Nothobranchius furzeri: one gene and its partners. The protein of the gene in region 7 purifies or fractionates together with the protein of the main gene of each other region. This does not show direct contact. Links are inferred from orthologs where the notes say so. Each region holds a gene or a part of one and is shown on either strand. Other genes may lie near its edges.

Evidence for each region.
Region 1: the proteins of cdk2 (region 7) and e2f4 purify together in Homo sapiens (affinity purification with mass spectrometry; 4 studies listed by BioGRID and IntAct, with this or other methods). This does not show direct contact. The link is inferred for Nothobranchius furzeri from reciprocal best matches to the Homo sapiens genes CDK2 and E2F4.
Region 2: the proteins of cdk2 (region 7) and ccnd1 purify together in Homo sapiens (affinity purification with western blotting; 12 studies listed by BioGRID and IntAct, counting the BioPlex papers as one, with this or other methods). This does not show direct contact. The link is inferred for Nothobranchius furzeri from reciprocal best matches to the Homo sapiens genes CDK2 and CCND1.
Region 3: the proteins of cdk2 (region 7) and golga2 purify together in Homo sapiens (affinity purification with mass spectrometry; 4 studies listed by BioGRID and IntAct, counting the BioPlex papers as one, with this or other methods). This does not show direct contact. The link is inferred for Nothobranchius furzeri from reciprocal best matches to the Homo sapiens genes CDK2 and GOLGA2.
Region 4: the proteins of cdk2 (region 7) and prdx6 purify together in Homo sapiens (affinity purification with mass spectrometry; 3 studies listed by BioGRID, with this or other methods). This does not show direct contact. The link is inferred for Nothobranchius furzeri from reciprocal best matches to the Homo sapiens genes CDK2 and PRDX6.
Region 5: the proteins of cdk2 (region 7) and samhd1 purify together in Homo sapiens (affinity purification with mass spectrometry; 3 studies listed by BioGRID and IntAct, counting the BioPlex papers as one, with this or other methods). This does not show direct contact. The link is inferred for Nothobranchius furzeri from reciprocal best matches to the Homo sapiens genes CDK2 and SAMHD1.
Region 6: the proteins of cdk2 (region 7) and cullin-1 purify together in Homo sapiens (affinity purification with mass spectrometry; 4 studies listed by BioGRID and IntAct, counting the BioPlex papers as one, with this or other methods). This does not show direct contact. The link is inferred for Nothobranchius furzeri from reciprocal best matches to the Homo sapiens genes CDK2 and CUL1.

What each region holds. Positions count from the first base shown.
Region 1 is NC_091744.1:86,782,889-86,787,491, forward strand, and holds the start of e2f4 (transcription factor E2F4), read right to left. Parts: upstream 3,037-4,603; 5' UTR 2,903-3,036; coding exon 2,741-2,902; intron 1,601-2,740; coding exon 1,491-1,600; intron 585-1,490; coding exon 423-584; intron 1-422. UniProt on the Homo sapiens protein: Transcription activator that binds DNA cooperatively with DP proteins through the E2 recognition site, 5'-TTTC[CG]CGC-3' found in the promoter region of a number of genes whose products are involved in cell cycle regulation or in DNA replication.
Region 2 is NC_091749.1:21,576,251-21,580,606, reverse strand, and holds the start of ccnd1 (G1/S-specific cyclin-D1), read right to left. Parts: upstream 2,993-4,356; 5' UTR 2,816-2,992; coding exon 2,618-2,815; intron 1,914-2,617; coding exon 1,698-1,913; intron 1,212-1,697; coding exon 1,052-1,211; intron 1-1,051. UniProt on the Homo sapiens protein: Regulatory component of the cyclin D1-CDK4 (DC) complex that phosphorylates and inhibits members of the retinoblastoma (RB) protein family including RB1 and regulates the cell-cycle during G(1)/S transition.
Region 3 is NC_091746.1:54,879,630-54,883,444, forward strand, and holds part of golga2 (golgin subfamily A member 2), read right to left. Parts: intron 3,596-3,815; coding exon 3,527-3,595; intron 3,011-3,526; coding exon 2,876-3,010; intron 2,598-2,875; coding exon 2,551-2,597; intron 1,906-2,550; coding exon 1,839-1,905; intron 1,355-1,838; coding exon 1,295-1,354; intron 915-1,294; coding exon 834-914; intron 406-833; coding exon 367-405; intron 254-366; coding exon 191-253; intron 1-190. UniProt on the Homo sapiens protein: Peripheral membrane component of the cis-Golgi stack that acts as a membrane skeleton that maintains the structure of the Golgi apparatus, and as a vesicle thether that facilitates vesicle fusion to the Golgi membrane.
Region 4 is NC_091748.1:46,872,246-46,876,573, reverse strand, and holds the start of prdx6 (peroxiredoxin-6), read right to left. Parts: upstream 2,763-4,328; intron 2,389-2,762; 5' UTR 2,380-2,388; coding exon 2,288-2,379; intron 1-2,287. Other genes in the region: polyisoprenoid diphosphate/phosphate phosphohydrolase PLPP6, read left to right, coding at 2,929-3,412. UniProt on the Homo sapiens protein: Thiol-specific peroxidase that catalyzes the reduction of hydrogen peroxide and organic hydroperoxides to water and alcohols, respectively. Can reduce H(2)O(2) and short chain organic, fatty acid, and phospholipid hydroperoxides.
Region 5 is NC_091755.1:60,847,895-60,852,284, forward strand, and holds the start of samhd1 (deoxynucleoside triphosphate triphosphohydrolase SAMHD1), read right to left. Parts: upstream 2,943-4,390; 5' UTR 1,997-2,942; coding exon 1,825-1,996; intron 1,720-1,824; coding exon 1,653-1,719; intron 1,526-1,652; coding exon 1,459-1,525; intron 1,003-1,458; coding exon 842-1,002; intron 653-841; coding exon 537-652; intron 304-536; coding exon 233-303; intron 1-232.
Region 6 is NC_091747.1:63,530,925-63,535,242, forward strand, and holds the start of cullin-1, read left to right. Parts: upstream 1-1,251; 5' UTR 1,252-1,390; intron 1,391-4,318. UniProt on the Homo sapiens protein: Core component of multiple cullin-RING-based SCF (SKP1-CUL1-F-box protein) E3 ubiquitin-protein ligase complexes, which mediate the ubiquitination of proteins involved in cell cycle progression, signal transduction and transcription.
Region 7 is NC_091743.1:49,088,039-49,092,559, forward strand, and holds the start of cdk2 (cyclin-dependent kinase 2), read right to left. Parts: upstream 3,115-4,521; 5' UTR 2,973-3,114; coding exon 2,857-2,972; intron 1-2,856. UniProt on the Homo sapiens protein: Serine/threonine-protein kinase involved in the control of the cell cycle; essential for meiosis, but dispensable for mitosis. Phosphorylates CABLES1, CTNNB1, CDK2AP2, ERCC6, NBN, USP37, p53/TP53, NPM1, CDK7, RB1, BRCA2, MYC, NPAT, EZH2.

The DNA of each region.
Region 1 (4,603 bases), on a different chromosome or scaffold from region 7:
TGTTGGCACTTTGATACACACCTGAATGTCATATCATCATCAACATGTGAGATATTCAGTGAAGATGTTACTAACATTTGCATTAGGATGCCTGGAATCCACGACTAGGACAGCGTACTAGACCATGACATAACTAGCAATTTATGCTAAAAAAAATAGACGAGAAAGCAAAATTAAAACATCAAACTCTCACTGAAACTTTGAAATATGACTAGCAGTGAAACATTAAGATGTCTGGCTTTAAATCATGTGAAAAGTCACAACTTTTTACAGACTGAGTGATAATCTGTGTGACTTTTAAGTGCAAAATTGGTCGAATACCCCTTTAGGTGACCAGGTGCTCACAGTCCACATTATTACAAAACTCTCTCTTGAAAAAGTTTAAACATCCGCATGCACGCACACACAGCAGTGAAAGATATGGGCTGTTGTTGGAGTCGTCTGTGACATTCTTGATGCTTTGTTGAACCCAGACTCTTTGCTGGTCCAGCTCGTGTTCCCGGACAGCCAAGTCGTCTAGCTCAGCCTTTAGATCAATCAGCTTATCTGCAATCTCCCTGGTGTTGCAGCCAGGGCCGACACCCCTGAAACACATTGGTAAGCACGTGGTCATTCACATTCAACAGGCAAAGAAAACTCGCCGTCAACCTTTTTCCCAGCATAAACGATGAACTTGTAGCCAAAACAAGCTGCAGATAGATTCATCTCACGTCTAACTCAGGTAGAAGACATGCTAATCAGCCATGCTCATAGTCATTTCCCTTACGGCATTGTTTTATGTATGTAGGACATTAAAGAGCAAGTCACCCCCAAATCAACTTATTTTCTGATAAACTACATAAATGCGTGTCTAATCGTGCTGCAGACACGTGTAGTCAATAGTTTTGCACTTTAGTGCATTTTAGTTCAAATTTAAATTTTCTGCCTAAAACTGTCAGTGTTGTGCCGTTGTCAGGTAAAAACTCTGCACTGTATTTGAATTTAAATCTGTCATCGCTATTGGCTAAGAGGTACCCTAGAATGTTAGCTGGTTCCATATGATGTCACAATGTCGTTGTGATCCTGTGTGTGTTTGTTAGCGGCTCCACCCTCTCGGTCTGCTAGGCAACAGCATTTGTTGCATTTTTCAAACAGGAAGTGGGAGGGGAGTAAGAATCTGGTAGGGGGTGACTTGCTCTTTAAGTGTTAAGGACTGCTGCAAAACCTCAAAGTCATAAATATCCTCAAAGTATTGGCATATGATATGTTAGTATGATTACATATAACAAACATCACTACAGTTTAAAAATTGAAAGGTGAGGCTCAGACAATCGTGTTCAGAAAACTGCAGCCGATTCAGACGTAATCCCTGTTACATAAGACAATGATGAAAACATGAAGGCTTGATGTTTCATGAAAACATGAAACATGAAGGCTAAGAACAATTTATTACAGACTGCAGTTATAAATTCTAGTCTTTTCATGAAGCCATACATACAAATAAAACTTACTTCCATTGAATACTGTTCTTAGATTTCTTCTCTATAAGACCAATTCCTTCCAGGACATTAGTAATGTCGTATATACGTCGTTTTTGCCGCACTGCCAAGGTATCTGCTGCCTGAAAGAAAAAGGACAAATACAATGAATAAAATATGAATAACAAACACACATTTGGCTCTTTTGCACAGAAAATGTCATGGCTGAGTGTAAAATACACAAAAAAGATATATTTTACAAACCATCTGGGTGTGACATCTACACTTCCTGCCCAGCCAAGTCTTTGGGTCTTAGGAGATAAAAACAATTTGCAAGGAGCTGATAAGTCTAAGCTTTTTCAAATAGCTGGACTTAAGTCAGTTGGACTGAACGAAAGAGAAAGAAAAACATCTGAGCGTCTGGTATTTTATGATCTGCAGAGTGCAATGCAACCATAAGTGCCCGCAGCCAGGAAGCTAGTTTATGAAATTATGAAGTCAAGTTAATCTAAACACCACCTGGTTTACTAGACTTTGGCTCAGAGGTGGCACTGTGTTTATAAATGTTTCTGTTTTGGAGCATTACTAATCTGACAAGTCTGAGGTATCTGAATTCAGATGTTTGTCAGGACATGTGTATTAGTAGTACTGCATCAAATAAGTAGGTTAGTTCTCAGCATCTTGACATTACTGAGGAGGCATATCCACTACTTCTACGTGTTTAAACACAAAGATTTGCACGTTTTTGGAATCGGACTTGATAAAAACCAATAAGGAGCTATGCTGCGTTTGTGTACCTAATGGAAGTGGGCAGGTCTCATTAAAAAAACAACACATTTAAGATATTTCCTAAAACTAACGCAGTGGGGGTGCTTATCGTTCAGAGAGAAAAGGCCATACCCATCAGAAAAAAGAAACTGCTCAAGTGTGAAGATGCCACACTATGTTACTAGCAACAAAAGCTGACCCACTTTTGAGAGTTTGAATCTGCAGGGGGCAGAGCGAGTCTGAAAAGTTGGCCGGTGTTGTTTTCAAAGTTAATTTCACGTCTGACTGAACGGTTCGTGTCTATGGGACGCTAACACACCGAGTCACCAAAATAAACAAAGTTAGAGTATCACAAATGTTCAAATACTGTAAACCCCGAAGCTAACAGGTTACATCCATTCAAATTAGCATGACAGAGCTAAGCTAAGCTAATATGCTAGCGAAAGTAACGACAGCGGGTAGGCTCTGTATGACATGTGCTAGCTGACAACAAAGACTCCGGGTTGAATGCTCACAGCTTTCAAATCCAGCACTCCGTCTTTCGCCTCCTGTAGCAAGGTCACGAATTTGGTCGTGAGCAGTCCCAGGCTCTTTTCATGCCTGCTTGGGGTCTGTGGCTGCAGCGAATCTCCCACCGCTCCCGGGTCGCCTCGGTTACTAGCCGACTCCAGCTCCATCACTCGGGACAAGCTCCGTACTTCCCCCCGCTTCCCCGACCAGTTCCAACCCGCGAGCACAGGAGAGCTCCACCGCCGGAGTCGAGTACACAGCAGCCCGAGATTGCGTGGTGGTGTTTTTTTAATCCGTGTGGATTAGATTAGAAAATAGTTGCCCAAATGTATCTGAACACGATGAGTGCTGTAATTCAATGAGCAGGCAGTCGGTGGTAGAGAGCCGTTGGCCACGCGAGGTATGACGGGACGGTTCAATCGTACAAGGGAGTGTCTGAGAATACTCACGTTGTTTAGAAGACGTGTACAAAAATAAAATAGTGGCTGCTTAATTTAAAACAAAAGTTCATTAAAATTAGCTGGTAAATATTTTATATTACAGATGAGTTGTATCAGAATATGTTTGCATTGTCTTTACGTATTGGTTGCATCCATTAAAATTATGAATTATACGTATTTATTTAATACTACAATTTATGTGCTTACCCTTATCTACCCAAACACGCACACGAACAGACGCGCACTTTTACGTGCGCAAAAAACCCCACTAAAGTCTGCACGTTCTTAGTAGTTCATTTGCATGCAAATTAATTGATTATGTTTCGTTATTATTTACTGTAATTTTGTTTGTTAAATTTTTACTTTATTCTTCGTGTCAGTTGGACCAAGAGATGAGCAAGACTCAAGTCAAGGCCCGGTCATTTGTTTTTCATCACATCTACGAATTATTTACACAAAACCCAGCTTTAAACGTCCAGGAAGGCATATTTTTGTTATGGAGATGTGACAAGCTGTCATAAATGAAAAGAAAAATATCATACACGGGTGTTGCCATATTACTTAAACAATGCATTGGTACATCTGCTAGTTACAAAAGAATGAATCATATTCCATTAATTATTTTCTTATCCTATAATAACCAAGTTATTTTGCAGTATGGTTTTGACACACACTAGTTGTCAACCTTCCGTACTTTAGCTTTGTGTACAGTGTATAATTATTGTCTTTCCAGAACTGCGCTGCTCTGGGCGGCTGCATGTTGGAGTTGACTATGTGTAAGTTTTGCCTTTTCTTGGGCATTTTTCTTCTAGTTTCTCAAAAAAAACTGTATTTTTTGGACACTTTACTTTTCTGTTTCTGGTGCTGTGAAGCTTGGAGGATTTTTACTGCTATGTTTTAGCTTTTTTCACTTTTTGAGCATTTGTTATGATGCGTAACTATGGCAACAAATGGTTTACAATCAGGAGCAGCTGATTAACATTGGAAAGGCTGAAATATTACCTCAACTGAAGCCACAAATCCCAAATGAGCTAAACGCAAGAAGCGTGGGTGCAGAGCGGGAGCAAAACGGAGACAGAGAAAGAGGAAATTCAAACCATCTCTTCCATCGATCATAATGGGCGATGTGAGATCACTGGCCAACAAGATGGAGGAACTCCAAGCCCTTTCAAGGACTCAGCCAGAGTGTCGGCAGTTTCGAAACCACTGGAGGAGATAATGCAAAGAAGGATTCTCCAGAGAATCAAGAAAATTATGGACAACCCTGAGCATTCTCTTCACAAGACTGTCCGACAACAGAAGAGTGTCTTCAGTCAGAGGCTTCTTCAGTTTGGCTGCAACACTGACCGCTACTGGAGATCCTTCCTGCCAACAGCCATTGTAATATACAACAACTCTTTGATGACTTGATTATTATTATTATTCTGA
Region 2 (4,356 bases), on a different chromosome or scaffold from region 7:
ACCTTTCAAGTATCAGCATTTTTTAAAAAGTGCATACAAAAACTGGCCAAAGTTAACACTTTAAATCATGAATTGTCTCACTATATACACACTATTTGCAGAGTGATGTTTTGCTGCTTAAACTCTGTTTAAGGTGCATTTTTGTCATAAGATGTAATGCCATATGTTTTGTTCTGTACTTTTGAACAACTCTGTTGGTCAATAAAGGGAGAAAACGAATTTCTCCACAGTAGGACAAAGGTACATCTACCGGTAATCTTAATAAAAACAGATTGGCGCACAGCAGTGACGTAATTAAAAGCACCGGTTAGATTAGCCGCGGCTAGTCTGTTCACGCCTAGAAATCCTAGACCCGCTCCAAACGAACAGGGGAATCATGTTAATGATTCCTAACTAAACCTTTCGACATAGAGATGTTTTGGTGCAGATAATGTCTTATTTCAAGGCTGCACCATGGGTGCCCGTCCGCACCCGTTATATGGATATACGCTGATGGCGATTTGCCGATGGATCTAAATACCCCGGAGAATCCAAGTAGCACCAAAGTTGTCAGCGTGAGTAAACAAACGTACTGCATGCTAGAAATTAAGTCCGGGTTGCAATAAATGGGAGTTTTCCTTTAAGCACATAAGCGTGAATATACAACTACGTGTCGGACTTGGTATGCTAATGAAGTTGGGCTGTGAAGCGCCTCCCAAATTCGCTGTTTATGTTTTTGTTTATTATTTGGCAGACAAAACTTGGATCGGAGACAACTCGCGTGGGAAATTGCAATGTAGCCATGCGGCATCTTCTTCTTCTGTTTGTCTGGGAGGCGGAGGCTTCTTTACGGCATCTGGCTGTCGTGCGTGTTGGTGTACTTGAAGAAGGCTGTGTATAATAGTCCATAATATCGATACCACAGGGATGGAATATCTAATTTAGATACCACTTTTAGTATCAATTTATATCTAGGTATCGATTTTTTTGACAACACTAGTGTGTGTGTGTGTGTGTGCGTGCGTGCGTGTGTGTGTGGATCCACTCCTGAATCCTGACGTCCAGCACCCACCTGTAGCACAGAGAGCCACGAAGGTCTGGGCGTGTTTCCTGAGGATCTGCTTTGTGGACAAATGGATCTTCAGTTTGGACAGGAAGTGCTCGATGAAGTCATGAGGCGTGACTGAAGCCAGGTCCCACTTCAGCTTGTTCAGAACCAACAGCTCCATCTGCTGTGGGTGGACCAGAACAACCAATCAGACGTTAACTCAGCGTCTGCCTGCTGCTGCACCTCTCGGCCACTAGGGGTCAGTGTAGACCACCAGACAAGCCTGTCAGACGCTCCAGAAGAACACTATTTGTTCCATCTCCCACAACCTTCTGGTGGGATGGACACACGTGAGGAGAGGACAACCTTGCAGGTGAAGTGTGACGTGACCTTTGTTCTGGTTTTTGACACCTCAAAAAAGATGCTAGTGATGAAGATGAGGTTGATCTCCTCTTCTTCCTCACTGGCTTCTTTTCATGCTGGTGTTTCTGTCTCTCTCAGGCTCTCCTGTTTACTTTATTTTCTATATTAGTATTTATTGTTGGCTCTTGTGAAGAGCCTCGTGATTCTTTATCTTGATGTTTGCTAAATGAGAAACTTTTTCTTCTTCTAAACACCTGATCTGCTGGTGTGCCTGCAGCAGCCTCCCACACGGTCCTAAAGCCCTTACCAGCAGCTCTCCGGGCTGGACCGAGTTGTCCGTGTAGATGCAGAGCTTCTCCGCCGTTAACGGAACCGTCTCCTTCATCTTGGACGCCAGGAACATGCACGCGGCTCCCAGCAGTTGCAGGCGGCTCTTCCTGCTGGACTCCACGGACAGGAACCGGTCCAGGTAGTTCATGGCCAGAGGAAAGACCTCCTCCTCACACTTCTGCTCCTCACACACCTGAAGGGAGAGGAGCGGACAGGTGAGTCCTCCACACACGCACTGTCTCACACACACACACGCACGCACACACACATTCTCTCTATCTCACACACGCACACACACACTTTAATCACCAGAACTCGGTACGTTCGGACACACCGGCCCCTCGGGACCTGTTGGGTTTGGGCACGAGGCTCCTTCGCGTGCTCGGTTCGGGTCCGGACCAGACCGGTCCAGGCAGCTTGTAAAATGAATAAAAATGACCAGAATAGGACCGAGTCTTTCTGCAGACGCGTGAGAACACCGGAGACACTGAGCCGAACCTTCAGACCCATTTGGTACCCTTTCATCCTTTAAAACTGTTTTTTTTTTTTGGTCTGCCATCCTCAGCGGAGCCGTTCGGAACCAAGACAGTTTTAGACCCAGTGGAACTGAAGTTGGTCTGGTTTCTGTGGAGCCTGGTGGGTCCGGCTCGGTTCTGGCTGATGTCTGACTGGTTTTAACGGACTTTAAATCCTATCTCGTCGGTGGCAAAGATGGCGCACTGTCCGGACCTGCTGGGCCGGACTGCATACGTGTACATTACTGTGAATTCTGGAGTAAATCCGGATCGGTTCGACCTCACTGCCTTCGGTACGGCAGTCCAGACCGGGTCCAAACCGGAGCTGGATGGGGCAGCCGGATCAGAACCGGAACCATTCCCAGGGACAATCAAAACTCACCTCCAGCATCCAGGTCGCTAGGATCTTCCTCATTTTAGGAGCTATTTCCTTTTGGACGCACTTGAAGTAGTTCGGAGCCGGCAGGTAGTTCTCCTCGGCCCGCAGCATGGTTCGGAGGACCCGGTCATTCAACAGGTTCACGTCCTGGTAGGCTCTCCGGATGGAGTCCACTTCGCAGCACAGCAGCTGCTCATCCATGGTTTGGCTCGGAACACAGAGAGAACCGGTTCGGTACAAGTGTCCTGCTAGAACCGGCCCGGTGTCTTTTCTATCTGGTATTTTTGAATCCCGGTGTCAGGGCTGCTCCGTGTGCTGCTGCCCCTCTGGTGTGCGCGAGTCCTCTGAGGTCCGGACCGCCTCGCTCTGGCGAACAAAACCTCCGCGCGCACCTCCCTGCGCGCGCGTGTCTGTACGCCCACACACAAACGGCTTTTTCGCTTGGGAACAAGTAAAGGCGGGTGACGTAGGCTGTTGTTAAGGGGCGGGGCCGCGGTGGGAGGAGGTGAGATCAAAGAGAAGCGGTCTGCAAGCGCGCGAGCAGGAAGAGCCCTCCTCCCTCTAGCCCTAGGAGGAGGTGGGAGGTCTGGGACCGGGCCTCCGGGCCCAACAGGCGGCAGGGGGCGGCAGTGACCCTCCCCCTTTGTCCTGCTGCCGGTTCGGTTCGGTGTGAATGAACAGCAGAGGACACAAGGAGGAGGGGGGAGTAACTCATTCATCTCACCTTATCACGACCCAAAACTAGACCGAGTACTGGTCCAACTCTGTAGTTCTGGTACTGAGTTCCACAGAGGACCCTGGTTCTGTTCAGTTCACACCTACTGGTGGAGTTTTGGTTCTACTGGATTCTGCTAGGTTCCCTGTGAGCCCTACTGGGTTCAGATCAGCAGGAACCACATGGTCCAGAACATGTGACATCACTAAAATGAGACCTCCATTCAGAACCCTAACCCTACTAGATCCACACACACACACACACACACACACACACACACACACACACACACACACACACACACACACACACACACACACACACACACACACGCGCACACACACACACACACACACACACACACACACACACACACACACACACACACACACACACACACACACACACACACACACACACAGGGGTTGGACCAATGGGAGGACCTGCTGTTACCAGGCAGAATCCTGTTTTGGGTGATGGTGGTTGACCCAGTCCAAGTGTGAACTGGATCTTTAGACACAGATGTTCCTCTTTGAGCTGCTTTATTCAGCCAGTAGAACATATTAGTGGTGAGAGAGCTTGTTGGATCAGAACCAACTTGTTCGTGGACACAGCTGCTGTGTAAACTCAGAAGATCCAAGTCTAGTTTCAATTTGAGTCAGAGCCTTTGAGCATTCCTGGAATTCCTCTCTGGCTGCTGGATTCACTACCGTAATGCCTGAATAGAGCCTCCTCTCTGGCCACTGTCCTCAAGGCTCACTTTGTTGTTGTCAGGGTAAAGAAAACAACACAACTCCAAACAGAAACACATCATAATAAATTTAATAACAATAATACATTTTATTGTGCTTTATGTGATGACAATCTCAAAACAACAGTCTCAAAACACTCACAAAAACGTACAATGATGAAAACAGAAGTTTACACACTTTCCTGACTGCGAGTGAAGCGTCCCGGGTCGCTCTGACCAGAACCTCTCACTTTCACATTTTACTTTGGAATCTTGTTAAGATTCATATTCTGATTC
Region 3 (3,815 bases), on a different chromosome or scaffold from region 7:
GGATGGGAGAGTTGGAATGTAAAGGATGAAAACAGGCCTTCTTTCCATTTAAACAACAATAACAAATGAATGCACCAACTGACAATAGAGATAACCTCCATACTAGTTTGACCTGTTATGACTCAACCGCATGAATCCTAAAAAACGATTCAGCCAAAAACAAGAGAACCTTTTTGCGACGAGAATTCACCTGCAATTGCTCCCGCATGGCTCCTTGCTCTTTCGTAAATTTCTGTTCAAATTCTTTTCGCTCCTGAAGGCAGAGAACAGCACACGATGGAGGTGAGCATCAAGAAGACGAGAAGGTAAAAAGATGATCTAGGAGTAAACATGAGGTTTCTAGCAGGAGTGTGAAAATCCTCCAACCTTCTGTAGCTGATCTGTGAGTCCCTGGGATTGCTGTACCTGCCAAACAGACAAATTAGGAGTTTGGCTTTAATAATACAAATACTTTCCCAGTCTCAACATAAAGACATCATAAAACACTGCAAAAGATCTCATCTGCATGCTAGAAACAACACTGCTGTGCAACAAACAAAAAACAGTTCAAAACTTTGAGTCTATTGTCATTAGAGGGCTAAGCTGGCTTAACAAGTCCCAACTTTCATGCCAAAACAAAACGATAATGACAGTCAGGGTCAAAATGTGAACTCAAAGGGCAGCTGGTGTTGCAGGTGCTTGGATTAATAGTTTAAAAAAACCTGAGCAGAGGATGCAAATGAGAAAATAAAGAAATGATGGCATGCAAAGTGTGTCACAATAAATAACTGTAGAAGGGAGGAAAGGGTTAACAACATGCACGCACACACACGCACACACACACAGCTTCTTACCAGCTGCTCTAGGTTGGTATTGAGCTGAAAATTTGTTAGCTTGCAAGATTCCAGGGCGGCTGTCAGCTCCTGGTTCCGACTCTATCACGTGCACGCATGCATCCGGGAAACAAAAAGGAAAGAAAAAAAGACAGTGATAAAGTGTGGTGACTAAAGTCAAACAAAGAACACAGGAGCAAGAAAAATATTCAAATGTAGAAGATTAACATGAAAGCAAACAATGGAACTGCTATAGGTGGTGATGAATAAAAGAATATTTTCACAATGAGAAGTGACACAAACAAAACTCCAATCTGGAGTCTGATACTGATGCATGCATTAGGATACTATCATGTAACAATGAAACAGTATCTGTGGCACAGCCACAGACAGATACAGGCAGGGACCAGAACGTCTGGAATAACAAACAAGTAAAACTCAAGGGTGAAATATCAAGAAAAAGAAATTTGTTTTCTTTTCACCTCTAGTTCTTTCTCACTGACTGAAGGTGCACTCTCTCCATTCACGTATGCAGCAGTTGACTGGAATAACAAGAAAAGGATGATTTATACGTGATCAGTGTGTGAGTAGGCTAACATGGTTGAGCTGGCCTCATTTGCATCCCAGCCCAACTTTCACCACCGTAGGTGATTTTACAAATAAGTATTAACATTTAAAAATTCACTGCTACAAGCCAAAAGCCACAGCAAAGCAGTGATTAGTTCGGCTAATAACTCAGTAAGATATGAACTGGTAACAATGACAATGATCTGAATCATTTTAAAAACAAAACCAAAAAGCAAATTTTGTACTTCTGATTGTCACAAAACAAAAAACAAGTTCAGAGAAGATAAGCTGGCTGATAACTCTAGCAGTCTGCTTCAGGTCATCAAAAAAGGAAGGACAAGAGAGAAGTTTCTTCCCAATAGATGCAACACACACTGCTTGAGAGGAGGTGATGTATTTGTAATAAAATCCCAACACTGCATAACAAAGAGGAGGACAGTGGTGGGTGTAACGGCTTACCTCGGAGACCAGACCGTTCAGCTGCTGGGAGAGTTGTCTCAGGCTCTCAGTGGAAGACAGCGGTCTGCTGGACAGGAGACACACATAAACACCCAACCGAAAAGCAACAGCAACCACTTCACACCACAAGCAAAAATAAGGCTCTTTAAATCAAATCAACTGGATTAATGAGAAATTAAAGCCTGTTGGGGCTGTTGTCAATAACCCTTTCCATTAAGTGCTGCTAAAATAAAGTTAGTTTGGTGTTGTATTTCAATTTATTGTAAACAGTTAATGTAGTCTTAAGCTTTTCCATGATGACCTTCCCTTTTTGTGACTCCCAAAAACAGTAAAATGAGATAAAATACAGGAAATCACTGCAGCTGTGTGATTAGGGCTAAAAATGTGCCAGTTTATCCAAGATAGGTAGAAATGGGACATTTTAACTGCACACACACACACACACACACACACACACACACACACACACACACACACACACACACACACACACACACACACACACACACACACACACACACACACACACACACACACACACACACACACACACACACACACACACACACACACACACACACACACACACAACCAGATCCAAAAAGAAACCCAGATAACATTTTACAAGAGCTCTCAATCAATTTCTATCTTCTTTAAATCAAATGTGAATTATCGTGACAAAACAGAGATAGATCTGAGTGGGGTAACTCACCTATTTTCCTCCTTTAAACTCTCATTTCCATTGGTGTCAGAGAAGGCCTGTATATGGATAGAAAAGAAAATGCAAAAAGAAAAATAGATACAGGAAAAGATGATAACATTTAACAATACGAACACAAAACATGTCAAAAAACATTTTAATTCTTCCTCTTAAAATGTAAAAAAGGGAAAAAACTATGTAAAGTAATCAACACCCCTGATAAACACATGATGGTTTATATTGATGGAGATGCAAGTAAATCTGGTAGATGTGTTTTAAAATGCAGAGGTGGAAACAGGGCATAAAAGGAGACACACACACACACACACACACACACCTGCAGCTCAGTGTTGTGACTGACAAACTCAGAGTTAGTAGCAGTGTTAGCATTTGCGGGGTTAACAGGCTCGCTGTTTGGCTCCTCCTGCAGCTGGGCAACAGAAGAGCCCACAGCCTCCATGTCAGCAAAGATCTGCGACAACACACACACACAAATACACACTGTTATACTGTCAAGAGCTAATGGCAACAGTGACATTGCAACAGTTTCTGTTCCAAACATTTAACTAGGTTAGAAACTATGATTTTAATATGAGCTCAGTGTATGCAACATTGAAAATTACTATTTTTAAAAGCAAGCAATACTGAAAAATGAGCACACGCACACACACACACGTGCACACCATTTGTTAATCCAGTGATGCATGTCTACATTTTGCATTTAACAAGAAACGCCAAAAACTTTATTAAGATGAATTATGAGACAAAAAAGTGAAAACACTTGTGCAACATACAGTATAAAGTTTTCTTGATGGGTTTAAAAGAAGCAATGCCTAGGAAAGACTACTTCTATGTGACAAAGTTTATCATGTGATGCAAGAATAAGGAAATGGAGCAGAAGTTGCAAATTAAAAAATAGAAACACGTTTTTACATTAAAAGGGGTGAAGAAAACCAAGTAAAGCAGAAAGAGAGGGACAGAGGCTCACCTGACAGGTGCCATTAGGTGGGAGGACTACTCCATTGCTCTGACTAAGTGCTTTCAGAAAACTGTCAAACTACAGCAAAAAGAAACAGAGACTAAGAGAGAGAAGAGACAGGCCAAGGAACAATTTACCTAGTGACAGAGGCAAGCAAGCGTGCACAGAGAAGCAGCTACCATGGGGGAGAAGCTCTAGATGCGAGTGTGCAGGAAAAAGAAAATCATGGGAACTACTATCCTGTCCAACAGAGTAAAACCCAGTCAATTTTTTTTTATTCCACCCTGATGGTTTCCTT
Region 4 (4,328 bases), on a different chromosome or scaffold from region 7:
CTATACAGCATGTTTTAGTTGTTTCTCTGGTTCACAACTTCTGATTCAGTGGTTCAATCACCTGTTCACCAGCTCATTGAGCTCAGTAGACGCCTGTTAATCATCTGCTGGTTAAAATTGGGTGTGCTGAAGCAGGAAAACAACAAAAACATGCAGGATAACGGCCCTCTGGGTTCTAATTGAATCAACAAGCATCTGCAATTCCTGAAGAATCAAACTCAAGAATTACTCCAGCCGTCATGGGTGTGCCAACCATTTCCTGCAAAGCGAAACAATGTATTGTGACTTATCACATGAAACGGGGAGGAGAAGATCCATGCTCCCCTTATGCACCAGGATCATGACTGTTGAGAAGCCCAGAAAAGGTCAGGACAATCCTAAAATGTTTTCTTCCATTGCTAAACAAGCGACTTTTAGGCTTGAAAAGTGGCGACCTAAAGTTTATTCTTCAGGAATAAAGCTTCCGCTGGTGTTGGCAGGAACAAGCGTAACTGATGGGAAACAACAGTGAGCCTAATGAAGTGGGACACGACTTTAACAGATGACCGCCACACAATCCAGCAGAGATTCCCGATGAGGAGAGAGGGAAATGGTTATTGTGCGGTCACTCCAACTGATGTCTCTCACTGTCAAAGCCAAGACTTCAAAGATTACATCCACTCTGAGAAGTTGCACTGGTCCTTGTCCATATGTTATCTTCATTTAAATAAAAACAAACATTGGGCATGGGGCTAAACAAATCTACATTAGAAGGAAGGATTGGTTAGAGGCAACAGTAGTTCTGTATTAACCAAACTGAAACAAAATGTGTACCCCCCCCCCCCCCCATTGTTTTAAAACCGTAGTAGGCAAGCACTGCTACAAGATTGCTGAATGTTTGTTTAAAGCAGAAACATTATTCTATAAATAATGCAAAACAAGGATTTGCTAAAACGTGATCCAGAAGATGTGCATATTTACACAGTTCATGTCCAAACTAGACAACAAGTGTGCATAAGTGTACACAAACACCGGAAACAGAGCATTTTCTAATAGAATACACATCTAACCTAATCTGATGAGAAAGTGAAATACTGAAGTGCATTTTATCTTGTTTTAGTTCACTACTTCAAATTAATTGTTGCTTAAAAAGCTGTAACCAATTACTAAAGCAGACGTTTGTATAAAATAATCATAAAAACCATACGGGTATCTCACACACAGATCTGTTATGTTCTATTCTAATATGTGGAAATATTGGCATCCTAACCTTTATGTGACAATGAAACAGCTTGCATTTATTTAACTTATTCTACTTATTTATGTTTTTATTATCTGTTATGGACCTTCTTGTGTCTTTAATAAAGTGACATATCTGTACTGTATAAAATAATCATAAAACCATACAGGTGAGAAGAGATCCGTTTTACTTCTTTAAAATAATCATGTTGGTGATTTTTTTGTTAGTTTACTATCATGTTACATGGTGTGAGGGACCAGTGGTGAAGCATGAGGCCTCACAGGAATACTTTAGAAAAATAGGGTTCATTTTTTATCTTTTGATTATCAACACAAGAACTTAATTTAACAAAGATAAATGCTGAGCTCATAAGAGGTCAAATAACAGAACTCAGGCAAAAATGTGAGCAAAGCAACTGGCTACACAAACAAACTTAACTGACCTCCCAAGAACAGACACACGGGGTATATATATAATCAAACCAATACAAACAATGGGGGTCACCTAAACAATACAACACTCACAATAAACACAATCAGTGTAGTCCAGCTGTTTGGTAAACTAAACATCAAAGAAGAGACTAATATTTACTAATTTAAATACAAATACCTAATCAAGAAAACAAAAGCCAATTTTACTCAAGCATACACTAATTTCACCTATCCATCAGGAACTGGTGGCGCAGTCCAATTAGCTTGCAGATATTTAACTGCTTGGAGCCCTGGCCACCATCTTTGTTTGGCCACTCCCAGAGATCACAGCAGGTCAATCGACTTGTTTAAGTGTGGCCTGATGTTGGGCCATCACACATGGTTTGTTTGTTTAACAAGTCTCTTCAATAAAAAACAAAAACTACTTATGCAAACAAATTGTTTCATCACATCACTATCAGCAGGTAAGTCAGTCAGGTGTGTACTATAAATTAGAGTCAAATGAGCTAAAATATTTCACTTTGATGTACAACTTAGAAAATAACGAGTGTAGTCGTGTTTCAGGGATACTCATTCTACAGAGATTAGGAAACAGACACGCTGACCCAAAAGCATCACACAAAGCGTGTACACTCACGAGTCTCCCAGAAAATCGTGAAATGTGATCCTTCCGACCGTGGTGTCGGCCTCGAAGTTTGGCACAACGTCGCCGAGCAGAAGTCCAGGCATGGTTCGGCTCTAAACACAACAGAAGGAAGGGAGTGAGTCAGCCTAACAACGCCACGCGCCTCACGCTGCTCTGTTGCTTATGAACAGAACCCGGATAAGGGCGGGGCTAAGGCAAGATTCTGACCAATCAGAAAGCAAAAGAAAGACACGTATTGTCGTCGTCCCCCCCCCCCCCCCCCCAAAAAATTAGATTAACTAAAAATAAGTACTGAAATATTAAATAAAAATTACATTAAAAGGGTGAAACATAAAAATCCCGCACCAAGAAAACCAACCCTACCGTTGAAAAATAATTATCTGTTATTGTCCCTCCCCGTTCAGGCGATAGACTCTTTGCCTTTTCCTACTCAATTTCCCAAAAGTCTTTGTGACAAGAACAACAAATATGGCGGTTCGGTTTGGCGTACCTGGACGTGATAGGAATTGTCAAATGAACAACAGATGAATTAACGAAGTGACAACCCTCAGAACAGTATAGTACATTTATTTATTTGGTTCGGATACATAACGTCACATCCTCCTGCCAGCATCGGTGGATTATTCGATAAAATGCCCTCTCCTAAAGCTAAAAACCCCGGTCGCAGCGGAGGAAGCCCGGGGCTCTCCGGCAGCTCCTACGAGTTTTTCTCGTCGACGAAGCAGACGGGCCGCTCTTCACCGTCTCACCTTCAGCGACAGGGTTCCGACCCGACCACCGCCCGCCTTCGAGCCTCGGAGAGCCCCTCTCGGCGCCGGGGCTCCAACTCCTCCACGGGCTCGGCGAGCGGTCAGGGGCCACCTGAGGAGGACGGCATACGGCTCAACCCCTCCCTGATCCGCGTTTCGCTCAGCTCCTTGCTCGCCATCGACTTGTGGTTGTCCAAGCGGCTGGGTGTGTGTGCCTGCGAGGACTCGTCCTGGGGCAGTGTGCGCCCCTTAATGAAACTGATAGAGGTGTCAGGTCATGGCATCCCGTGGCTGGCCGGTGCCGCATACTGTCTATATAAAAGCGACAGTGCTGCAGGACAAGAAGTCATGCTCAATCTCCTCATGGGTAAAGCTACTGTCTGTTATGTGTTCTTTATGTTGCTGCTGCATGTAAACAGCACAGATACAACACCATTCAAACACGATCCAGTTATTCCTGCTACACACAATCAGAATCTAATCATCTTCTGCATCTGATCTCTCCTCCCTTTGTAACTAATCTGACTTATGTTTTTTGTCGTTATCGATGCTTCCCTACTAACACAGGTCCGTTGCAACAACGTAGTCACAACGTATTTTCTGACACCTTGTGATGTTGCAGGAAAGTCGCATGTTAACGCATTATTCCCAGCTTGATTGCCATTTATCAACCTCATACGTCACTTTGACCAGATCTAGATTGCTACATATGTGGTATTTCTTACAATGGACTGATGGTACTTTCAACACTGACAAAACACAATCAAAACTTTATTACAGAGGAAGAAAAAGACAGTTTATTAATTTTAATAATCATGGCTGTGTTTTCAGAAGGAGTTTAGGTCAGTTATTACAAAGTCAGAAATGGTCAACACCATGTTTCTGCACCAATGTTTTCCTTTCATTACTGTTGTGATTATTCACCATTCTTGCACCATTTTTTAACCTTAACCTAGCCGATTGTCAGACAGCCAATATGGTTGGAAATAGCCTGGCTGACCGCCATTCCCTGGTTGTTTTGGATCCCAGGAGAGGTCCGTTAGTCCACATATTACCAAAAGTAGACTTATGAAACTACTTATAAAACTAAAGTACTGGCCATGATTCATAAGCTTCAGTTAATCTCATTTTGTCTATCATTTAATTATGCAGAGAAATGTATTATTTCTTCCTGGGGATCCTAGCCCGCTTTTCATGGACCCGTAAGGAATCTATGTGTAAAAGGTGTGAAAGTCCTTATCCTAACTGGACCATCTGGTGTTTTTCTTCAGGTGTTTAAGTTA
Region 5 (4,390 bases), on a different chromosome or scaffold from region 7:
CTTCTACTACTTCAGTGTTCAGCTTCAACACTGATATTCAAACAGTTAATAATCTGATGGCAACGTACTTCAAATTAGCCTGGAGAGGAAAACAACGCCTGTGAGTCACGTTTTTTTATTGTTCCAGATGTCAAGTAGTTTGGTCATGACTCATGTTCAAACTTCAGAAGCACCAAAATCTCCACAACATAGAACAGAACCAACCAGATTATAGGCTAGAAGAGTTTCTCACCTTCCAGTTCAGTTGTGGACGAGCTCTAGGCATGAACATGCCATCAAACATGTGAGAAAAGGGTCCATGTCCTGCAAAAAGAGGACAACCTTTAACTGTGATTACTGATGATTAACCACAGAAACGCCTAATGGACACAAGATGATGGAGTGAGACACTTACACTTCCTGTTTTCTATTACATAAAAGTCATTGAAAGTCTGTTGACTTTAAAAATAAAAAGGGGTTTGACTTCCAGATCGTAAAGATGTGAATAAAAACTCTAAAAGCTCAACTCGTCTCTGCGTGTGAAGAGCATCACTCACCCAGATCGTGGCAGAGTCCAGCGATCTGCACACACAGGATGTCCCGACGAGAGATGAGGAGTTCAGGCTGCCTCTCGTTCAGAGCTTGGACAAGTTGTCCAGCCAAGTACCCGACCCTGTATCAGCACACAGCAAGACAATCTGCCTCACACATGATATACAACCAAATCACACTGAGATTAACTTAGAACAGGACTTTCTGTGTCACCTGTGACCTTCTAGATAAATAATGTTAACATAGTTTTACAATAAATGTCACAGATGAGTTATAAACCATGCCAAAATGACAAATACATATGATGTACCCAATACTGTGTTCAAAGCGGTTGTGGGACGCTCCGGGAAACACGTAGTACGTCCCACCAAGCTGCTTGATGTATCGAAGCCTCTGAAACTGAAGGGTGTCGATGAATTTAATGAGGAGTGGATGTAAGTCCATGTGACCGTGGATGGGATCATTGAACACCTGGTGGCAAACAAACAGGTTTAGGAGGCAAAATAAAGGATAAGGGACATATTTGTGCCAATAAGTAAAAGTCATGATGACACAGAGTTCAATTATCCAGATAGAAACACTCACTCATAACTTTATTCAAACATATTTTATGTTTAATGTTGTTTTATACTTCCTTGGCAAAATGTGCAAGACATGACCCTGTATGAACGAGAAAACCCTATAGAGGTAAATACATGTTTGAGTTACAACTCTTTAAAAATGTTAAACCAGCTAAACAAACAAACAAATGCATTTAAATACAGTAAACTACTTTTGATTACACTAATTATGAATTCCCGCTCTCAGCAAGGCAGCATTCAGGTCACTGTCATGTTTTACAATCTATTTTGCATTTAGCTGTAAATAAAGTGCACATTCATCTCATCTTTGATGCCTTTAAAGTTTGTTTTGTGGGAAACTCTTTACCTTGTTAGTTTCTATCTGCCACAGCTTCCTGAGGCTGTGCAAGACCTGCAGGCGGTCACCCAAGGTCCTGAAATGAGGAAGATGATGTTGGGGGGTGGGGGTAAGAAAATAACCTGCTTATAATGAGCCGTAGAGAGCATATATCACATCCATGTTACAGTGCATTTGGGTACTTTATTAGATGGTAAACTCACTTTATGCCAATCTTCTCCAGGTCTTCATCCTTTAGGTACCTCAGGCCAACACCTGTGATGTTTTGGTCTTCACAACAAAACAACAGATAAAAATGTCACCCGGGCGCCGTGTGGTTTACTAACACGGTCCTTTTAATTTAAATGCTTCAACTTGTCAAATCAGAAAACAAACCTCTGAATGTTTTCTCCCATCGTCTCAGACCTTCGTTTCGCAGGTACCGACATGTTTCTTCCACTCCCCAAAGAAGGAAGTCTGAGTCCGGCTGCAGGACCGCAGACCTTCTCCTCTCCGGCGTTTTGAAGCCCTCGTCGGTCGAATCAATCGGTCGCTTCCGAGATGCCATGCTGGGATAAAACAGTTGACGGTTAATCGTTAAAAAGCGAATAAAAGCGGCGAACAAATTGAGCAGAAAACGTCTCTTGCGTACACAAGAAAAACAGCTGATCTGTCGGTTCAGAGCTGAAAGCGTCAGACCCGGGAAAACTGCGAGAGTGCCGAGTTTTGTGTTTCCCGGAACAGAAAAGCTATGAATAAAAAGGAGCGTTTCCGGTTTATCATTTCAAAGTAAATCTCCACAAACCCAATGTCAAGTAAAAGTTTGGCTATGCTAAAAATACTAACACAGTTTATTTTTTTTAAGTTGTCGTATAATTTACTTTAATATCTGTGACAGATCTGACAGTACCATTAATCAGGACACTGAAAGGCAACCTCTAGTTGAAAACATGAACGAACATTAAAATCTTTGTTTATATAAAATTTTATTTTTTTAATTAAATTCTTTTAAGATCCATTTTACCCCGAACTGTACAATCTACTAGATGCTTAAACATAGCAAAACTGCTTTGCATATAATGTGTTTGTTAAAATGGGAGGTGTCTATCTCAAAAATAAAACAGGCTAGGTTACACCTTGTGCTCTATTCAGAACATTACTGTCTAATTAATATTTGCTGGTTTCAGGCATGTTTAGCTTGAACAACTTGCTTAAACTTTAAACATCGATCAAATCTACTCAGAGTTTCTATCACAAACCCACTTTTTAATTTTCTCCATTTACTGATGGATAATTAAATTCTTTACTACAGAATTGTCCTTCACAACATCATGCTTATCAACCCTAGCCATGAAAGTGGGATTTTATATCTTATATATTTTTATTATTGATTTAATTTTGGCAATTTTTGCTAAACACTTCCGGTTTGGGGTGGTACAAAAAAAAACTGCTGTCAATGCACCTCGGAAATGTCGTGTTTAAATAGTTTCATTTTCACACTTTTAAACGCGTTCATAACGGCATTGGGGAAAAATGAACACACATTATGTTAGAGAAATGTAGTATTTTACACAATTCCCCACTGAAGTGTAAAGTAGTGTTCATGTTTACTGGGAAGGCTGTTTTCCATCTGGTGTTTCTTACCAGTGATGGGAAAGTCCCAGTTCGCTCTGCTGTCATCAGTAAATTAAACCAGTGGGACCAACATTTTAGGTATTATATTTCATTACAGTGAAACAGTTTTAAACGTACAGCACTGCCTACATGTCATCTTCATCTGTCGTGTCCTCTGTGATGGTATGACCAGGGTATTTTACTTTCTTGGTGACACGAATCACAGTCTGACAGATGAAAATTTGGAAACTTCATTTGCTTTTCCTCCTTGGCACAATAAATCATAACCACACTTTTAGCTGCATTATACACAATTTTGTGTTCTACTCCACAGTCAGAGCAAATGTACAATATCTGCTGTAGACCAGCTGTGCTCGAAATTAGAACCACTAAATCATCTGCATACATCAGATGATTTACAGGACCACCAGCTGCACAGCCAGTCCTGCTGGGCTTTAACCTCACTGATAAGTCATCCATGTACAGGTTCAAAAGAAGAGGAGATAGAATGCCTTCTTATCTGACTCCATTACTGACCTTAAATGGCTCTGAGATACTATTACCTTATTTTATCTGTACCATTTGTTGACCATACCGATAAACCAGGATGCGTACAGTGTATCTTGGGATACCTCTTTGCAGCAGCTTCATGAAGTTTCCTGTGGTTAACTTTATCAAATGCCTTGGATGCATCTATGAAGCACAATAAAGACGGAGGAATTTTTATATCTGGTCACAATCTCCTTTAGAGCACATATACACACGTCTGTACCAAGCTCAGACTTAAAGCCAAACTGATTATCTGTGATTTTTAAGGTGTTATTAATTCTGTCCAGCAGAAAGAATGTTCAGAGTATGCTAGCTTGAGCAATGGGCCTCTAGTTATTATACATGTTACCAACTCTCCCACCCTTGTCTTTCATATGATTGTATTATTTTGTGTTACACAATTATATTGATCTTAAATAAAAAAAATTTTTGTAAAATCCTTCAAAATATCTAGATAAACTGCTCTGACAAATGGCACTATGACAAGTTATGTGTACAGAAGTTTGACCGACAACATCAAACAGACACAAGATGGCACAATTGCTCAACACTTTTTATTCTGTGAGCCTCCCAGTACGGATCCAGTAAATGGGTCCTTTGCCAGATCAGAAGATCAGCTGAGTCTTGTGTCTTTTATATTTTGCCATCTGATTGATAATTTAACAATGAACTTGGAGGGATTTCAGCAACACCTTGGATAACCTAGAAATCTGTCGAGTTTCACAAAACAAATTTCTGTGTCGACAATAACAAAAGTCATTCATCATGGAAAATGGCCTGTATTTGATATAGCTCCTTC
Region 6 (4,318 bases), on a different chromosome or scaffold from region 7:
CTGAAATATTACATTTTAGCTCCATCTCTATGAAACTGAGTAGGAGCCATTTTCGTGTTTGATGATCGGTTTGAATCAGGTTAGAATCCGCTGTTCTGATGCAGTTCCCTGATCCACCAGCAGATGGCCCTCTGCTGGTGGAATAGAGAAACCACTGGTGGAGAACATTTGGTTCTGTGTGTGCGCGCGTGATCATTCTGATTATTTTAATGTTACTGCTCGGGTATTTTGTCTCGCGTATATAAAAACAAGTTAAAATAAACTGATGAAATGTCAGAGTCGTGCTTCTCTGGCATAAATAATTCAAATATCGCCTCAAAGGACTGAACTGCGCATGCCCCACAGGTATCACCCGCAACCATAATTGTAGTTTTCAACAGTAGACCTTTCTGCGGGATGCAGATGATGCATTCAGTGAAAGATTTTGAGCTGCGAAATCATAAAGATGCGCTTGCCCGCTGCGTTGGCCTGTTTGAATTCATTAAAATGTTTAAAAAGAAGAAATTTAACCCGTTTTAATTCGTAAAATCAAATTGTTCTCCAAATTGGGCAATCTGTTGTCTCTAACCTACAAAATGAATGGGTTCCTTTTATTTTGAAAGACAACTAAAATTGATGTTTTTTGGTGGTGGTTTGTGTGTGTGTGTGTGTGTGTGTGTGTGTGTGTGTGTGTGTGTGTATATACTTGTCTTTATAGGTTTAAGTGGACAAATTTGAACTATAACCTGTACTGTGTAGACATTTTTACATTGTGGGGATTTTTTGCTGGTCCACACAATGTGGAGCACCCTAAAACTTGTTTTTAGAGGTATGGCATTAGTTAGGGATAGGGTATGGGTAGGCATAGTGGAGTAACTAACATGGAGCAGGGTGTCAATGAAGGGCCACACAAACATAAAAACAAGCGTGTGTGCGTGCGCGTGCGTGCGTGAGTGTGTTTGTAAAACATCAAACCAGTAGAGCTCGCCTTTATTTGTCACTTGATTATTTTCTTGTGCAATTAATAATATTAATAAAACATTATTAAATAGGTTTCGGTTTCTTTCTTTTTCAGAGTAATTCAGCAAGTAAAGTAAAATATAGATATTAAGAAAGTAAAATAAGATATAGAATAATAGTGTTAATGAAAGAGAATGTTGACACAATTATTTTGGGCATACTGTAATGTGTCATTCTAAGCGTATTCGTGAGATTTCATCACGCAAGCTGATTTTCCGACGGACCCTGAACGCATCCTTGTTCTGATCTTTGTGAGGAGCAGCGAAACGATCGCAGTTAGCCACGGCCAGCAGGAGCTCCGTTCGGCGGAACACAGCGGAGGATACCGAGCCTGGACGCGATTAAAACACCTTTCCAGCGATTACACGATCCCCACAACGAACTAAGAATGGTAAGAAGACGTTTAAGGGCTGCGATTGTTCGCTGGGTGGATCTTTTGTACGGAGCTTAGCTGGAGGTCTAGCTGGCTAATGCTAAACGGCTAGCGAACTGTTTTCCTGACTCATTATCGAACAGAAGCCATTTTACAGCAGGCAGCTAGAGAGTCCTGGGCGCTGCTGTTGGCTCGGCGGCGACGGTGCCGGTCTTTAATAATGCTCCCGGGTACTAACGCTTTACCTTAACCAGTTTTGGGACGGAAACAAACGCTGTAGTTGGATTAAAAGCTCGTCCACCCAACGGCCAGGCAGCTGTGCTAGGTGGCTATCTGAAAAAGCTAAGACTTCGCAGTTGCGTAGCAGCGTCGAACGCCAGCCTGGTGAGATGAAATCCCAACAATAGTCTCATAAAACCTAAAACTTAATGTTGGTTTGAGCTTCATGTGACAAAAGAGTGTCAGGGAAGTAGATTTAATCCGAAGAGAAGCCCTGGCCCTCTGGCTACAAGAGACTGGATGTTTCTGGAGAACCTGGAAAATCTTAAATCCCACATTTTCTATCCCGGAGAGCAGAGGAGGCTTGGAATGATGATTTGGTTTATTATTTTTGTTCCACAAATGATCGCTGCTCTTACACGTTACACCAAAAAATACAACCTAGAGATCAATCTGACTCGAACACAATCTTTCCAATAGTTCTTAATAATCTGGTGGATTTTTCTGTGTAGTCTATAAACGAAGAACTATCCATGGGTTATATTTGTTTTTATTTAAATGTTGTGGAGTTTCTGATGAAGAGTCAGCGATCACACAAGATGCGTCAAAATACAAATAAACAAAACAAGGAAATGGCTTTAAAATAAGTGGTTATCAGTATTTGTGATTGGTTCGTTTTTCCTTCAAAGTAAAAGCTTGGTTTTCTGTCACCTTTCATATCTGTTTAAAATGAGAAAAAATCAGAATTTATTTATTTGTTAAGGTTTGTTAAGTGATTAGATGTAACCAGTAACAGCAAGACAACCAAGGCACAGATTAAACCACCACACCTGTGTTTTTGAGAGATTATTTCATCGGAATAATCCAGAACTTGTCTTTGATGTTCAGCCGCCACAATAAGAAATTTTTATTTATTTCTCTTAGATTTAAAACTGCAGTTTAAACTAGTTTCCCTAATCCCACTGTTCCCAGCAGGAATTCTGTGCCAGGAACCCCTGGTTAGTTTTGTTGACAGCAGGGACTTTGGATAAAAACACCTTCTGTACTGACGCCACAGCTTTCATACTAAAGTGGACTAAACTTTACTTATACAGAAGAACAACCTTTATTCATAAAGATCCGCCCACTTTAATAATGATGATGATAGCTGATAAACATTTAATAAATAGGAGGTGAGGCATAGATTAACTTTTATTCTCTAAGGAGCTTTAATCCTTGTTTTTATTTAATTTAATGATCATTTAAGGTTTTACATTCAGTCCAGTTTGGTTCCGGATCTGGTCTCAGATGGTTCCTACAGACACACAAGCTGGTTGAGGTTCTTCTAATCCCAGGATTATAATCTGTGTTAATGAAAAACTGGTAAACACTTTAAACTGAGTTCCTGGAGAGAACATTAGGTCTTCTGCAGAGACCTGGATTGGGGCAGATCTGGACCAGGGTCTGGGACGGACTACTATGTGTGTGTGAGCTTTAATCTCACTCAATGCACCAGAGAGGAGAGAATCAGATCAGATCCGTTCGGACCAGAACCTCTGGCCATAAGAACAGCTTCTTCCCGTCTGCTGTTGGACTCGTGAACGACAATCCTAGGGTTACCCACTCCCGTGGTGTGGTTCCAGTCACCTGACATGATGTTGTTTGTACCTGAGCTGATCTGCTCTGATTAGTACCTACACAGTAGTAGGGCTGTCACGGTAACCGCAAAAATGAAATATCGCGATATGAAGAAGCCCACCGCGCTGCATCATGGGCCACCGCGATTACTGAACTTGGTTCAACTCAATGATGCATGTTGAGAAGGATGGCTGCACTGGTATCAAAGCAAAACGTTACTTCGCTCCTTTGGGAGCACTTTGGTTTTCAGTACGTCAGCTGCTGCGCAGCCAGAGTCCTTGGCCGAGACAGAGCTGCCACCAGCGGCAAAAATAAATAAATAAATAAACTAGGGCTGCAACAAACGATTATTTGGATAATCGATTAATCGGATGGGGTCTCGACACGATTAATCGGATTACATGGGGAAATTTTTAAAAACTGCTAGGGAAACGTTATTTCTCTCCTTCCTTCACTTTATTTAACACAACATTATTAGAAAACAGTTCAATAGCAGAAAAATAACATGCCATCACCTAAATTGTCTTATAAGGTGTATAGACAGAGACCCTAAGCTACATCTATCTGTGACCTAAAATGCTTGGTCCAAGTTAAACAGCTTAAGGGCAATTCTCATCTGTTTTGTTTGATCTCATCTGTTGACATTTATTTTAAATGTAATTAAACATAGGCTGTGAATTTATCAAAATTGATCACTATTTCCAAAAATGACTGAAAAAATACCAAATAAAACAAAAGTAAATGAATGCCATCCTACTTGTGATGATGCCCTGGGCAACTGCCATAAAGTCACATCAAGAAATGCTGCTGATCATTCCAATGATCCCAAATAGACTCACATTAGGCCACATGAAAGCAACTGAACCCAAAAATATATGAACCAGTATATAACTGCACTCTCACACAACACGCCTGCAGCAACAGTTAGGACTCCTCCCTCCCTTTTAAAAGCATTTTTGCTTCTGAGGACATTGTGGTTGTAAAACCACATGCTAGTAGTCTGGCCCCGGTGTGATCAACCAGTTTCTGCGGGAATGTGACGGCGGAACCAGGGCCAGATTAACACTTTGTTGTACCCTGGGCAACAATATTCAAGGGCTCCATCATCAC
Region 7 (4,521 bases):
ATGACTAAACAAATACACATCACCCCCTCACCCTCTGAAACAGATAAACAAATGGAGACAAGATTGAAAAAATATCGGTTGTTCATATCGGCCCACTTTTATTTATCAGGCCGATACCAATATGTTAAAAAATGACTAACATTGGCCAATACCGATATTGATGCTGATATATTGTCCATCCCTAGAATACGGTCATTCCCTTTAACAAGGATTATACAGTGCTGCAAAAACATATACTCCCTTACACATTTATTGTTTTAGGCATTCATTTATGAATTTATTCTACAAATTGCCATATCAGACACCGATGATGAGTAAAACGCAAAATGCTTTTCATGTCACGCAGCTGCTCTCCTCATATCCCAAATGGTCCCGATGGTTGTTGTCACTGCTTCTGCTGCATGCTCGCGTTCATTTTCGCTTTTGTTTTCGTCCTAACGGCTCACGCCATATTGTCTTTTTATTGTTTTTATAGATGGTGTTGGATACGTCTGTACGGGGAGTTAACCGAGGTTAACAGTCAAACCGGTTAATCCCTGCAACCCTAACCTCGAACGGATTAAATTATGGCGTACTTTGACGGAATAAAAATTTTAAAGGTGCATTATGTAGAAATGAAGTCAAAATTTTATCCTGTGCTTTTTGCCGGCAGTTGTCAAATTACAACTGTCGGCGCTGCGGTATTAGCTTGCAGTAGATATGGCACCCCCTCACTCACTGATGGTAAACAGTAGTTACGACCCTCCTTTTGTTTTGAATGGAGAAAAAGTGGCAATCCCCACAACCAGCTGGATATGAAATATGTTTCAGTGTAACCTTTCTTCCAAAATGACTGAAACATTAGACTCTTTTGGGACTTTCTCACTGTAAAATTCTTACTATATTCTTACACTTTTAAAATGTTTTAATTGTCTATGGACGCGCTGATCAGTGACGTCACTCATTGCAAACATGCTGATGATATGCTGACGTATTTGCAAAGTCCTGAAAAGGCTGATTTTGTACAGACACAACGGCTGAAAACACTGATCCATTGTGTTTTCCTGGAACTTCAATAGTGGAAACATGGCTATCGAGTACGCTAAATGATCCCACACAGCAGCAGATGGTGCCTTTGCTAGTTTAAGGTCAAATTCAACAATAAGAAAGAGATGAGACAAAAAAGCCTCTATGGGACAGTTCCGTAAAACATCTCTGGTGACCACACAAAGACCCATCTCACCGTCTCCAAAGAGCATCTTGATGATATTTTAGAAAGTGGAACACTTGTTTAATCAATGCATTTTTGTAGTAGTCTCTAGTACTAATAAATGACGAGTAAGTTGTTTGCAGGGGGAAGAAATATCCCAGTGCACCATTCTTCTGACCTAAAATTTGCCCACATCACAGCAGACCTTCTGATGGCAGGATTTGGAGTCTTTTTCCTGATATTTGGACATCTCACTCCGGATCGGACAACAGCAATGCAACTCGACCACTGATTTGCAACATAGACATTTTATCTCCACAAATAACACAAGGCTGGAGGAACTTCGGCTGTGTGGTGGCATTGCTAATGCTAAAGGTTAGCTTGAATTAGCTGAGAAGTTCTCTGCTGTTTCCTGGACACTAGAACAAAAAATTTACTGGACACTAATCCAACAACACCCAAGATGGGTGAGTCCATGAATGTTATTCAGTGTGACGTAGATCTGTCAGGCTTTTCTAATTCTAGTTTCACCGTCTATTTTCTATCAGAAGCTAATGCAGGAGAAAGGTGTGGGAGACTATTTTCATGTTCAGTCTGCATGAAAAACTCAGTAACCATAATCAGGAAAAACATATTTAAAATGGTTTTTCAGTCAACAGCATCTTTGAGACTTTTTTGAAAATATTCTCTGGAGTGGTGAGACTATTTTGGTGAAAAACTAACTTCAGAAACACATCAATATACCAACAGTCAGACACGGTGGTGGCAGAGTGATGGTCTGGGGCTGCTTCAGGACCTTGACCACTTACTGTAATTGATGGAACCATGACTTCAAACATGTCAACCCACTCGTTTGGCTGGAATAAAACAATGTCAAAAAAATGTGGTCTAGGAATCCTTCACAGCAATGTAAGCCTTGTTATTAGTTCTCACAGATGCTTGATGGATGTTTATGCAGCTAAGGGTGTTGATTGGTTGTTTGTTTCCTTAATAAATAAATTAAATCATCATTTGAAAACTGCTTTCTGTTTTTACTTTGATCATCTCTGGTATTTGTGTTGGAAGACATCGATAAGGATCCAAATGCTTTTTTCAGAGTGCTGAAGTTTGGGTATGTTGGTAGTTTGACAGCTTGAGATACTGAAAGGTACCCTCCTACAGCAGCAAAACTATAAAACATGTCCATTCAACTAATAAATCAACCAAAGGAATGAAACAGAATAGCATTCAATGTAGAGTCAGAAAACTACTTCTGATCACTCACTAGTAACATCTGATCGTAGACTAAAACACAAGACAATGAAAAATTCCCTTAAATAGTTACATATTTCACTTGCTCAGACGCTTTTACCCAAAGCGACTTGCAAAAAATTGTAAGTCGCTTTGGGTAAAAGCGTCTGCTAAGCACATAAGCATAAACATAAACAAACATATCCAGCTAACCTACAGGGTTATATCCAAGGATGCTACGTCACTTAGTCCTGTGTGGAGGTTATATTAGGCACTGAATAATTACAGTTTAACGAGAAACGCTTATTTCTGTTGTTGCAGGAAGTGGGCAGACGATCACCAGCCACGAGGTCGTGGATAAAAAAAAAATCTGAAGCATTAGTGGATGTTTTTAGCGCGGCGTTAGCTCTGGAGATAACTCCTGCCTCTTAACTTACGTGTCCAGGCGGATTTTCTTCAGAGCAACAGTTTCTCCGGTCACTTTATTCTTGGCTTTGTACACCACTCCATACGTCCCTTCTCCTATCTTCTCCACTTTCTGAAATGAGTCCATTTTGCTTACAAGAGCGGGACTGTTTAAAGTTTAGCTGCTTAGCAATACTGGTCTCTTTGTGTGCGCGCTAGCAGCAGCAGCGACAGCGGCTCGGTGGCTACAGAGGGGCGATGTTAAGGAGCAACGCGGGGACAAACCGACACTAACCGCCGCCCCGGCTCCCTTCGGCCAGTCCGGAAACAGCCGAGCGGGAGATAGGGGGTTCGTGTAGAAGATGAAACGCTCTCAGATCAAACGACAACACAAAAACAGGTATATGGGCATGTGTGCCCAGCCTCGATAGTAATTATGTGGATTAATTCAAAAGGGGAGCGCGACGGTCGCAGCTCAGTCCACAAAACTGAACCAACACAGCGGCGTTTCCCGCGTTGTAAGAGGAGCGTTCGTTTTTGACTTCATGATACACCGATTATTTCGAATGGGTGGCACTGTACTCTTTATTTTATTGCTTATCTTGCAGTGTTCTCACAGGGGACCGCTATGAATGAATCCAACGCTTTAGATTAGATAAAAATGTTCACAAAAGTACTTCTGGTGTTTGTTAAATTTAACGTGTTGTTAGAAATCACCAGAAGTTGGGATGAGACGGAGACACTAAATGAGCAGCCCTCACTGGTCACATGATCAAAATGGATGACGTACCCTGACGTCATCTTAGAGGGATGTGGAGTGCTTTTGTTTGTAAAAAATGTGTTTATAAAATTATTTTCTTGTCAATTAGATCTAATTTCACAAACATTAATTCCATTTTAGCCTACCATCATATAAGTTTAAAGTTGCCATTGTTAGTTTTTTAAACATTTAATTAATTTCTTTACCTTAGAACAGGAGTCCTCAACCAAGTTTGGTCCTGAGGTTTTTACAGTAGACGGGCCAGATGCACTCTAAAATAACTAAAAGCATTATTGTATCTTAATTTATCAATAATTTAAATGACTTTGTTTTCCACCTAAACTGTCTTCATTGTAGTTTTAGTTGTGGTTGGAGAATGTAAACAATTATTGGGGGGGGGGGGGGGGGGGGGGGGGGGGGCAAAGAATTGGGACTACAGCCCTGCACAGGCCTAAAATCTGAGCCCGTGTCCGCCCGGCCCGAGGGGGTGGAGCCCCAGCCCAAACCAGTCCGAAAAAGTTTTCAGGATTCTCTGGCCCAACCCGAGCCCGAGGCCGACTTTTTTTCTTTAACCTTTCATGATGTTTTAGCGTGATAGAAGGCTCAGCATTCTAATTATCTGTGGGAAGCGTTCCGTAGTAAAAAAAAAAAAAAAAAAAAAGAAAGGAAAGAAAGAAAAACAGCATTCAATGCAGCTTTTTTTTCTAACAGCGTATTTTTCGAGCAGCAGATGAAATTTACGAACACTATATTAATTGGATGCGTTTGTAAATTTTATCTGCTCTGAAAATGCGCTCTTGTGCAATTAGGAAAAAAAAAGCAGCATTCTAATTTTCTAACTGCAGAGCACATTTTCAGAAACACCCCCAATTAATATAGCGTTTGTAAATTTAATCTGCCACTCTGAAAATGCGCTCTCCAACCCAGTAGTGAATGC